Linked DNA regions of Rattus norvegicus. The main gene of each other region encodes a partner of the protein of the gene in region 2 in a complex. Each region holds a gene or a part of one and is shown on either strand. Other genes may lie near its edges. A codon is read from its position in the direction of its gene.

Evidence for each region.
Region 1: the proteins of Atp6v1a (region 2) and Atp6v1d are in contact, whole or in part, in a cryo-EM structure (PDB 9B8P), measured with the Rattus norvegicus proteins. Residues at the interface, in NP_001101788.1 of Rattus norvegicus: Ala366, Met368, Pro369, Ala370, Asp371, Ser372, Asp416, Ser418, Asp436, Lys438, Glu491, Gln494, Leu495, Val496; in NP_955418.1 of Rattus norvegicus: Lys4 (codon at 2,864), Asp5 (codon at 2,861), Arg6 (codon at 2,858), Arg167, Ala171, Val175, Ile176, Arg179, Tyr186, Glu190, Arg194, Glu197, Tyr200, Arg201, Lys204, Ile205, Lys208.

Annotation. Positions count from the first base shown.
Region 1 is NC_086024.1:103,402,314-103,406,604, forward strand, and holds the start of Atp6v1d (V-type proton ATPase subunit D), read right to left. Parts: upstream 3,034-4,291; 5' UTR 2,874-3,033; coding exon 2,833-2,873; intron 1-2,832. UniProt on the Homo sapiens protein: Subunit of the V1 complex of vacuolar(H+)-ATPase (V-ATPase), a multisubunit enzyme composed of a peripheral complex (V1) that hydrolyzes ATP and a membrane integral complex (V0) that translocates protons.
Region 2 is NC_086029.1:70,098,273-70,102,084, reverse strand, and holds part of Atp6v1a (V-type proton ATPase catalytic subunit A), read right to left. Parts: intron 3,619-3,812; coding exon 3,456-3,618; intron 2,812-3,455; coding exon 2,703-2,811; intron 1-2,702. UniProt on the Homo sapiens protein: Catalytic subunit of the V1 complex of vacuolar(H+)-ATPase (V-ATPase), a multisubunit enzyme composed of a peripheral complex (V1) that hydrolyzes ATP and a membrane integral complex (V0) that translocates protons.

The DNA.
Region 1 (4,291 bases), on a different chromosome or scaffold from region 2:
CAACACACACACACACGCAGGAAGCAGAGGGGTAAGAAAGTTAGATAAAATTAAGGTTAATCCCAGCACTGCAGATTCCTACAAGTCTGGAGCTTATGGTTGAACTGACTGATAAACTAAAGGTCATTCTAGATGACTATACCTCTGTGAATGCAAACTTTCCAGCTACTGAGACTAAAGAGCGACTGGAGCTGGATATGGAGTGGTGAACACCTGTAAACCCAACACTTGGGACCCGGGCAAGAAGACTGGAAGCTGAAGGTCAGCCTGGGATAGATAATAATGGGTTAGAGGTGACTTGCCCAACACTCACAAGAACCAAGGTTTACCTGACTTCTATTAACTCCAGTTTTTCTGCCTTTTCCCCTTGAGACGGGTTCTTATGTATTCCAGGCTGGCTCTGAACCCCTGATCCTGCTATGCTTCAGGTATGTACCACCACATCCAGATTTCTGTAGTAGGAGGGACTGAAGGCCAGGGTATTGTGGATGCTGGCCAAGTGCTCTATCATCAGAGTCACATCCCTTTGGACCTCCTTTGCTTCCATCCAAGCTTGTTTCATTTTCTCTGGTGATACATGAATAAAAGCAACATTCCACAGGACAGTACCACCAAGCGAATGAAGGAGAAAGCACTATCAGTACTGTGTGATCTGGACTATGGCTGTTAAACCTGTTCTTTTCTGTTTCAGAGCTTCTCAGCCCTACACACACACACACAAAAAGGAAACGAGAGGTTTGACCTTCAACTAAAACAGTGACTTTGTCTCCTGCTGAATCAAAGACATCTGACTATATGACAAAGAACCTGCTGTCAAGCTTTGGGGGAAACATTTACTTCGCACCCCTGACTTCCTCTCAACTAGCAAGCTGAGTGCTCTCAAATAACTGTTTTCACGATCACAAACCTATCATTTCTCCTGTCTGAGCCCAAAGAAGTCCATTTTTCACCTTGTAGTCTTAAATTAAAAGTTGCAAAGTAAAAATAAACATATCAGCATTATGAATAGTGATTAAATATGGCCAGACATTATTTATAAGTAAGTCCACTGACAGCAAAGCAAAAAGGTGAGCACCGTCCTGGCTCCCACAGACATGCCTGGGCATGAGTAACACTCAAGCAGACTCAGAGAACGCAGAGCCTGGCGAGGCCACTGTGGTTGTAAAGGGTCCTCTCAGATCCCTGACATGCTTATGAATTCTATAAACCATAGTCAATTAAAAACCCTTTTTAATAAATGTTCTTTCAAAGAAAGGTCTAGGATCTACTGATCAGGTGTCAGCCAAAACAAGTATTTAATTCTCCTATCGGCTCTGAGCTTTGTTTGTTTGAGGCAGGCGTGGTTATTTTTACTTTTAGGTGCTGGGGATTCAACCCAGAGCCTTTTGCATGACAGGCCAGAGCTCTGCCTTTGAGATATTACTCAGTGGCATTATAGTTAGACTTAGGGTCTCGGGGGAGAATTGGGCCACCCTAGGAGCATAGCCTTGTTTCCAGAAGCCATGCTGGAATCTGGTGTCTCAGTGAAGTTTGGATGGGATCATTACATGCTGGGTTTTCAGATCACCCTCGGCTAGTCCTGATCTTTAGCTGTTTCACAAGCATTGTATTTTTCCACAACTAGCCCATTTGTACAGTTAGTATAACCTGCCATTTCAAAGTCAGTGGGGAGAAAGGTAAAAGGGGTTTGTTTTTTTTTAAATAATTAAATCCTTTCATTCATTCAGAACTACATACACCCTGGCAGAGACAGAAATTCACTCTGGGGTTTAAATATAACTAAGAGTTGTCAGATCTGTGAGAAAAAAAAAACATAGGATAAGGAAAACAATACAGTATCATGCGTACGCGCACGCGCGCGCGCACGCACACACACACACACACACACACACACACACACACACACACGCTCGCGCACATACACAAAACCCTAAACCGTCCCCAAAATATCAGAGTAAAATCTGATTTCCTTCTTCAGGGACAACTGAAGATGACAACATAAATAAGAATAATCTCTACTTTCCACGAGTTATTATATGTATTTGAGAAAACTTCAAATTTTCATTTACAAATGTTATTTCTCCTAACAAAGATGTTAGGCCGAAGCAGAAAGGCAGCCTGCAACTGAGCACATCCCAAGGCAAAGGGAACAATTTTCTGTGGACCTTTTATGCATTAAAAAGATGCCTCCTTCTTCCAGGAGACAGCCCAAATAAATATCCGTGTGACAGTGTCATGAGTGACATTGCTAGGGTAGAAGAGAGCAGTCATCACAAGGCTGTAGGAATACCTCAGAAATGCAGGAATATCTTCCTACAGCAGGTAACATGTGATGGGATCCAAGACTGAAACCTACAGCTTCGAGAGGATGACACATTCGATGTCACTTTGGCTTAGAGACCTTCTACTTGCTTCCCATCACTTAACTTCCCCGTCTGAGAGCTTTGGTCAGACCATCTTAGCTTCTACGTCTCATCCCTCAGCACTGATGAGCCCTGTGAGGCAGAGATGGCGACCGCTCGGTTATGTAAACTCCGCGAATGGCTCAGAAGGTGTGTGGAATGAATGAGTAAAGACATCGACCTCCAAAAAGAGCCAGCAGGGGATCCCCTTTTCCTTTGGACTGGAAACACTTTCTCCAGCCTCTTCTCTCAGGGGGAATAGGTGAAGGGGGCTGTAAAGAAGCCTCAATCGGAACTCAGGGGAAGACCCTGGGGAAGCTCAGGTCGGCCCAGAAAACAAGAAACCCCGCTGGTGGCCAAGAGTGCGCAGGAATGCGCTCCGGGAAGATGTGCCTGAACGTGGTGTCACTTGTTCTATTCTTTAACTTACATTCGCGAAGGGAAGATTTCAATCCGGTCTTTGCCCGACATTCTGACGGTGACTCGGCTCGGGTCCCCAGTGGGACAATCGGGACCGCAACACCTCCAGAACTGTTACCACAGAGCCTTCCTTCACCCGAGTCAGCTGACGGTGTCACTTGACCCCGTGCGTTGCTAAGAGGCAACCAGGAAACCGGTTCCCACTTCCGCTTCCTGTTGCCAGAGGACAGAGGAGAGGGCGGGCCTTTAGGAATGCCCGGATGTGGAAGAGAGCACAGTCCCGGAATTCCGGGTCTCTTCACTGCCCCTCCCTCCGGCGAGTGGCCCGCACTCAGCGAGTGCTGAGTGATGGGTCCGGAGAAGATCACGCTCCTCCTCTTCCTCAGCTTTCCATCTTTCGTCACAGCGCCATCTCTTGATTGAGTAAAACTTAAAGTAATCATCCTGGAGCAAGAAATAGAACATTACCTCTTCTTTAAGCCTAGCAAACTCCCTCCGCAAAGTCTATAAATACCAAGGAAAGTTACTTTTCAGCTCGCCCTGTGGTTCAAACCGCCCATATTAGGAGGACTGAGACTCTATGGTTAGTGGTAACGAAGGACCTTTTCCGTCGGCGCTTGCGCAGTGAGAGGTGGGTCCGCATGCGCGCTGGGTTGGGCGAAGCGCACGCTGAGGAGCTTCGCCGTCCGGTGTTGGTGTTCCGAGTCTCATCGTTGCCATTAAGGAGCCCGGCGTGGGACCCTAGTTCGGGATTCACACATACACTTCAGGTGATTGGCCCCGCACCTTGCTTTCCCCAAGAATTCGCCGTAGCTATGTCCAGTGATAGGAGTGGTCTAGGCCCCGGGCTATCACCCCACCCCCCCTTTCCCGTTCTTGCGCGGGAAGTATCTGGACAACGTCGCCACGGCCCGCTGGATATTTCCTGCGCCTTCTCGCCAACCGGTGTCTGGTCCTGTGAACCAGAAACGTGGCTGTACGGGCGGAGGAACCCCGTGAAGGAACGTGGGCCAAGTAGATTTTTACAGCCTCCCTAAAGATGTCTTGTGGTGGGGAGGCCTCTGGAGAACGCTCCGACATCCCACCCCTAGTTCAGGACTATTGGGCGCTTTGCTTTTACCGGGCCTCAGAATTTGAGCATTTTTTTTTTCTTCTTTTCAGCTCTAGGATACTACCAAAACTTCTGACTCTTTGGAGACTGAACTTTTAGTCAGAGAATCAATAGGATAAACCACCGTATTTAAGTTTAAAAAAAAAATCCGAAACGTAACTATTAGCATTGAAGGTCGTTGTTTTTCCGTTCTAGTTGTGCATTTCTGTAAGAAAGAATTCCTGGAATTGGAAATCAGCTATTGAAGTCATGCTGCTGAGGCGATTATTTACCCTGTTTGGGCAACTTTGAAAATAAAACTAGAGTCTTATAGTGGGCGCTGAAAGCCTGAGATTAAGAAAAACTTTAGCGTTAACTG
Region 2 (3,812 bases):
TACCACACCGCTTGAATGGCCGTCAGAGTTAAAGCATAACCAGCGTGTGCTGGTTAGATGATTACTGAGGCTGGAGAGACAGTGCAGCAGTTAAGATGGCTCTCACAGCCCGTTCAGACTCCAGTGCCAGCCGGTGGCCCCTAACTCCAGCTCCAAGGTCTAATGCCCTCTTCTGGCCTCTGCAGGCACTGCACTCATGCAATGCCACCCCAGAATTTAAAATACAAGCATCTTTATAAAAAAATGTTTCTGCTCTATCCAATGAAGGAACACTGCAGCCATATGAGAGATGAGGTAGACTTCCCATCTTAAATAGTACATGAATATGCCACTTTCTTCTCCTTTTCATAAGTTATAACCAAACAAGAAGAGTAAAAGACAGCACTATAGATCCAGTGTCTAAGGCGAAGATACACTTAGCCCTAAGCTAAAACAACAGGGAAAAGATCCAAATGCGTGAAAACTGATCCAGGAACAGGGAAGCTTCAAGGACTCACTGAGGTGACACAACTCGAATTGAGCTCTGTGAATGGGCCCCACATGCTACAGAGCAGAATGGCCGGAGTAGGAGCTCCCTGGGCCTAGGGGGCATGGAGGAGGTGCAGAAAGATGGAGGAGAAACACAGTACGAGCAGGTGCTCCCTGTCTCCATGACACAGCATGGGTGCGGCAGGTAGAGGAAAGGATTCGCTACCAATGGCTTGCTGAAGAGAAACAGTAAAATAATTACACAACTGCGGGCCATAACAAATTCCACAAGTAACCGTGAAGAATTCCTGTTCCACTGCACCGGCCACAGCCAGTTCCACCCATCTCTCACAAAGCTGAGTAATGGTCCGAGATACTTAAATAAAAACAATGTAGAAGGAAGTACGGTGATGGCAAAAGTGCCTGCCAAGGACCAGACGAAAAGTGTGGCCCAGTGAACTACCTGGAAGAAAACCAAAACCAGTATGGAAATGTAGGCTTCATTAGAGGCAACACTAGGAACAGACACTACACATTGTGTGTACACATGAGAGTCTACATAAAAGACAGGACAGGAGATGGCAGACCTGGAAAACAGAAGGGCTCCAGTATGTCTATGGAGGAAAAGGTTGCAGATACAACCTCAAATCTCTCAAAATAAAAAAACAAATTCACAGACTGACAGGGTTCATGGCTTAGGAAGGAGTATTCAAGCTATCAACGCTGCCACAGATCCTATGAAAGCTATGAGACTTCAAATTTAAAGAGAAATTCCTTGGACCAAGAAAAGTCACTTCTAAAAGGGGGAAAATCATTCTCAGATTTTGCTCCCAATATTTACTGCTTAAATAAATGTTCTCAGGCAAAATAATATTGATCTAAGAAGTTTGTACCCAGCCAAACCACCGTTAAGGTTTGAATAGACAGTCCTTTTACCTCAAAAATTAAACCTGTTTTTTCATGAACAAAGTAAGTATTACTATAGTAACCCATGAAGTCTATGAAAGTCAACATATAAAAACTACCAGGTTACAAAAAATTTTGGTCTAATCATTTTAGTTCAGAAATACAACTGTTAAAGTTTAAAGGCAACAGGGAAAAAAAAAACCCTGGAAAGTTATGAAGAAAGCAAGAGTTCAAGGAAAATGAAGATTTCTGTGAGTCTTTCTTGCAGAAACTTCCAAAAGACACATTTAATAAAACAAGAAATAACGAGAGAAACTAAACTAGCCACAGGGAACACTGGCTCCATTTAGGGAAGGCCAAAGTCTAAATAATATTGGCTCTCTAGTTCTAGAACAAAATAAAGAGTTAATAATTCCTAAAAATGGAGAAACAAAGGCCCTAAACACTGAGGCTGAAAGAGAAAAGACACAGTATAGCAAATTTCTTATCTTTCATATTCATATAGTATTCATATAGTACGATGCTAAAATACAGATGGATAATAAAATTAAGAAGGTAAACATATTGCTTTATGAGTGTTAAGAGACGTGGAAGTGTGACTGTAGCTCAGGAGTGCTTGCCTCGTATGTGCAAGGAAGGCCCTGGATGTGTTCAACAACAGTAGCAAAAGGGCAGGGGTGGGTGTGCAGGGTGGGTGAGTGTGTGCAGGGGAGGTGAGGGTGAGCAGGGGTGGTGAGGGTGTGTGTGGGGGGGGTGGGGAGGGTGAGCAGGGGGTCAGTGAGAGAGAGGAGGAGGTGAAGACGACCATCTGGGGCAGCTCACCAAACATCTTACGTTTGGGGCTGGAGGGATGGCTCAGAGGTTAAGAGCTTCTGCAGAGCACTTGAGTTCTGTCCACAGAACCGAGCCGGACAGCTCACAACTGCCTGTAATTCTAGCTCCAGAGGATCTGACATGCTCTCTGTCCTCCAAGGGCACACAGACGTGTGGCATGTGGATAAGATACACCACACACGGGGCTGGGGATTTAGCTTAGTGGTAGAGCGCTTACCTAGGAAGCGCAAGGCCCTGGGTTCGGTCCCCAGCTCCGAAAAAAAAGAACCAAAAAAAAAAGATACACCACACACCCACAGGCATACACACTCTTTTAAACAATTTTATGCTTATTTATTCGTAGATACACATAATAAATCAGATATTTCTTAAGATAGGAAAGTGATTATATGGGAGTCTTTTAAAGATGAAGTTCTTTGGGAAAGAAAATTTGGGTGCTAGTGTTAAAAGTTGAGAACAGGTGTTAAAGTCTTTTCGTCCAACTCCTAACTCACCAGTGTAAATGGAGGCCTCTCTTGCAGCCACAGGCATATTGGAGGTATTGGCTACCAGCGCTGTCCTCTTCATGATGGACTCTACTTTACCATCAACTTCCATAGTGAGCTAAGGGTGTAAAATCCATCAGTGAGCTCCAGTTTAAGTCCAACACGCTAACAATTTAGTTTCTCCCACTTAAACATTGTAACTTGTTTCTGTTTAGGACCACCCCCATCATGCCAACCTCTCTTTCCTGCTCCACAGGACTCTCTGACAAATGGGCAATTTCATTTGGACATTTCAAATGAACAAAGGAAATCCATTCTTTTACGAAAAAGGACATGCTACTACAGTAACCTAGACCACAGAGCCCATGTGAAGTCTCACATTTAAATGTTCAGTTTCTCACACTTTGTTTTTCAGACAGTGTCTCATGTAGTCCAGGCTAGCCCTGACCTATTGACCCTCTGGCTCAGCCTCCCAAGTACAGGAATTAGAGGCACATGCCACCATACCCAGTCAAAATATAATTTTTTTTCTTTTATCCGCCTTATTTTTCTCTTAAGTGAGCATAAAGAAGAGAAACTTCAAAGAATTCATTTTCCTTTTTTAAAATATACAGATTAATCAAAAATATAATTTAAAATTCTTTGAAAGCATCTTGACAACCGAAAGCACCATTCTTGGCCCATGGAGCATAAACTATTGTCAGTGACAGCTGACATGCAGATCTCCTCCAGACGGTTATGTGGAGTCTTCTGTAGACAGACCTCAGGGAAGTCCCGGAGAACTTCTGACATCTCATTCCCTCTTTCACCGCAGCCGACATAGATAATCACATCGCTGTTGGAGTACTTGGATAGAGACTGGGAAATCACAGTCTTCCCACAGCCAAAAGCACCTGGAATAGCAGTAGTTCCTCCCTGAACACACCTGAAGGGCAACAGAACAAAAATCAGAAGAAATGTTTATTATGCTGTTGGCTTGCTAATGTATGCTGCTAAACAAAGTAGGTAACTGATAGAAAAATACCTGTAAGGTAATTACTCTGAAACATTTCTATACACGCAGAACATACTGTCATAATTATTGGCAACTCCTTTGTGCCTAACAGCATGTTTTAAGGT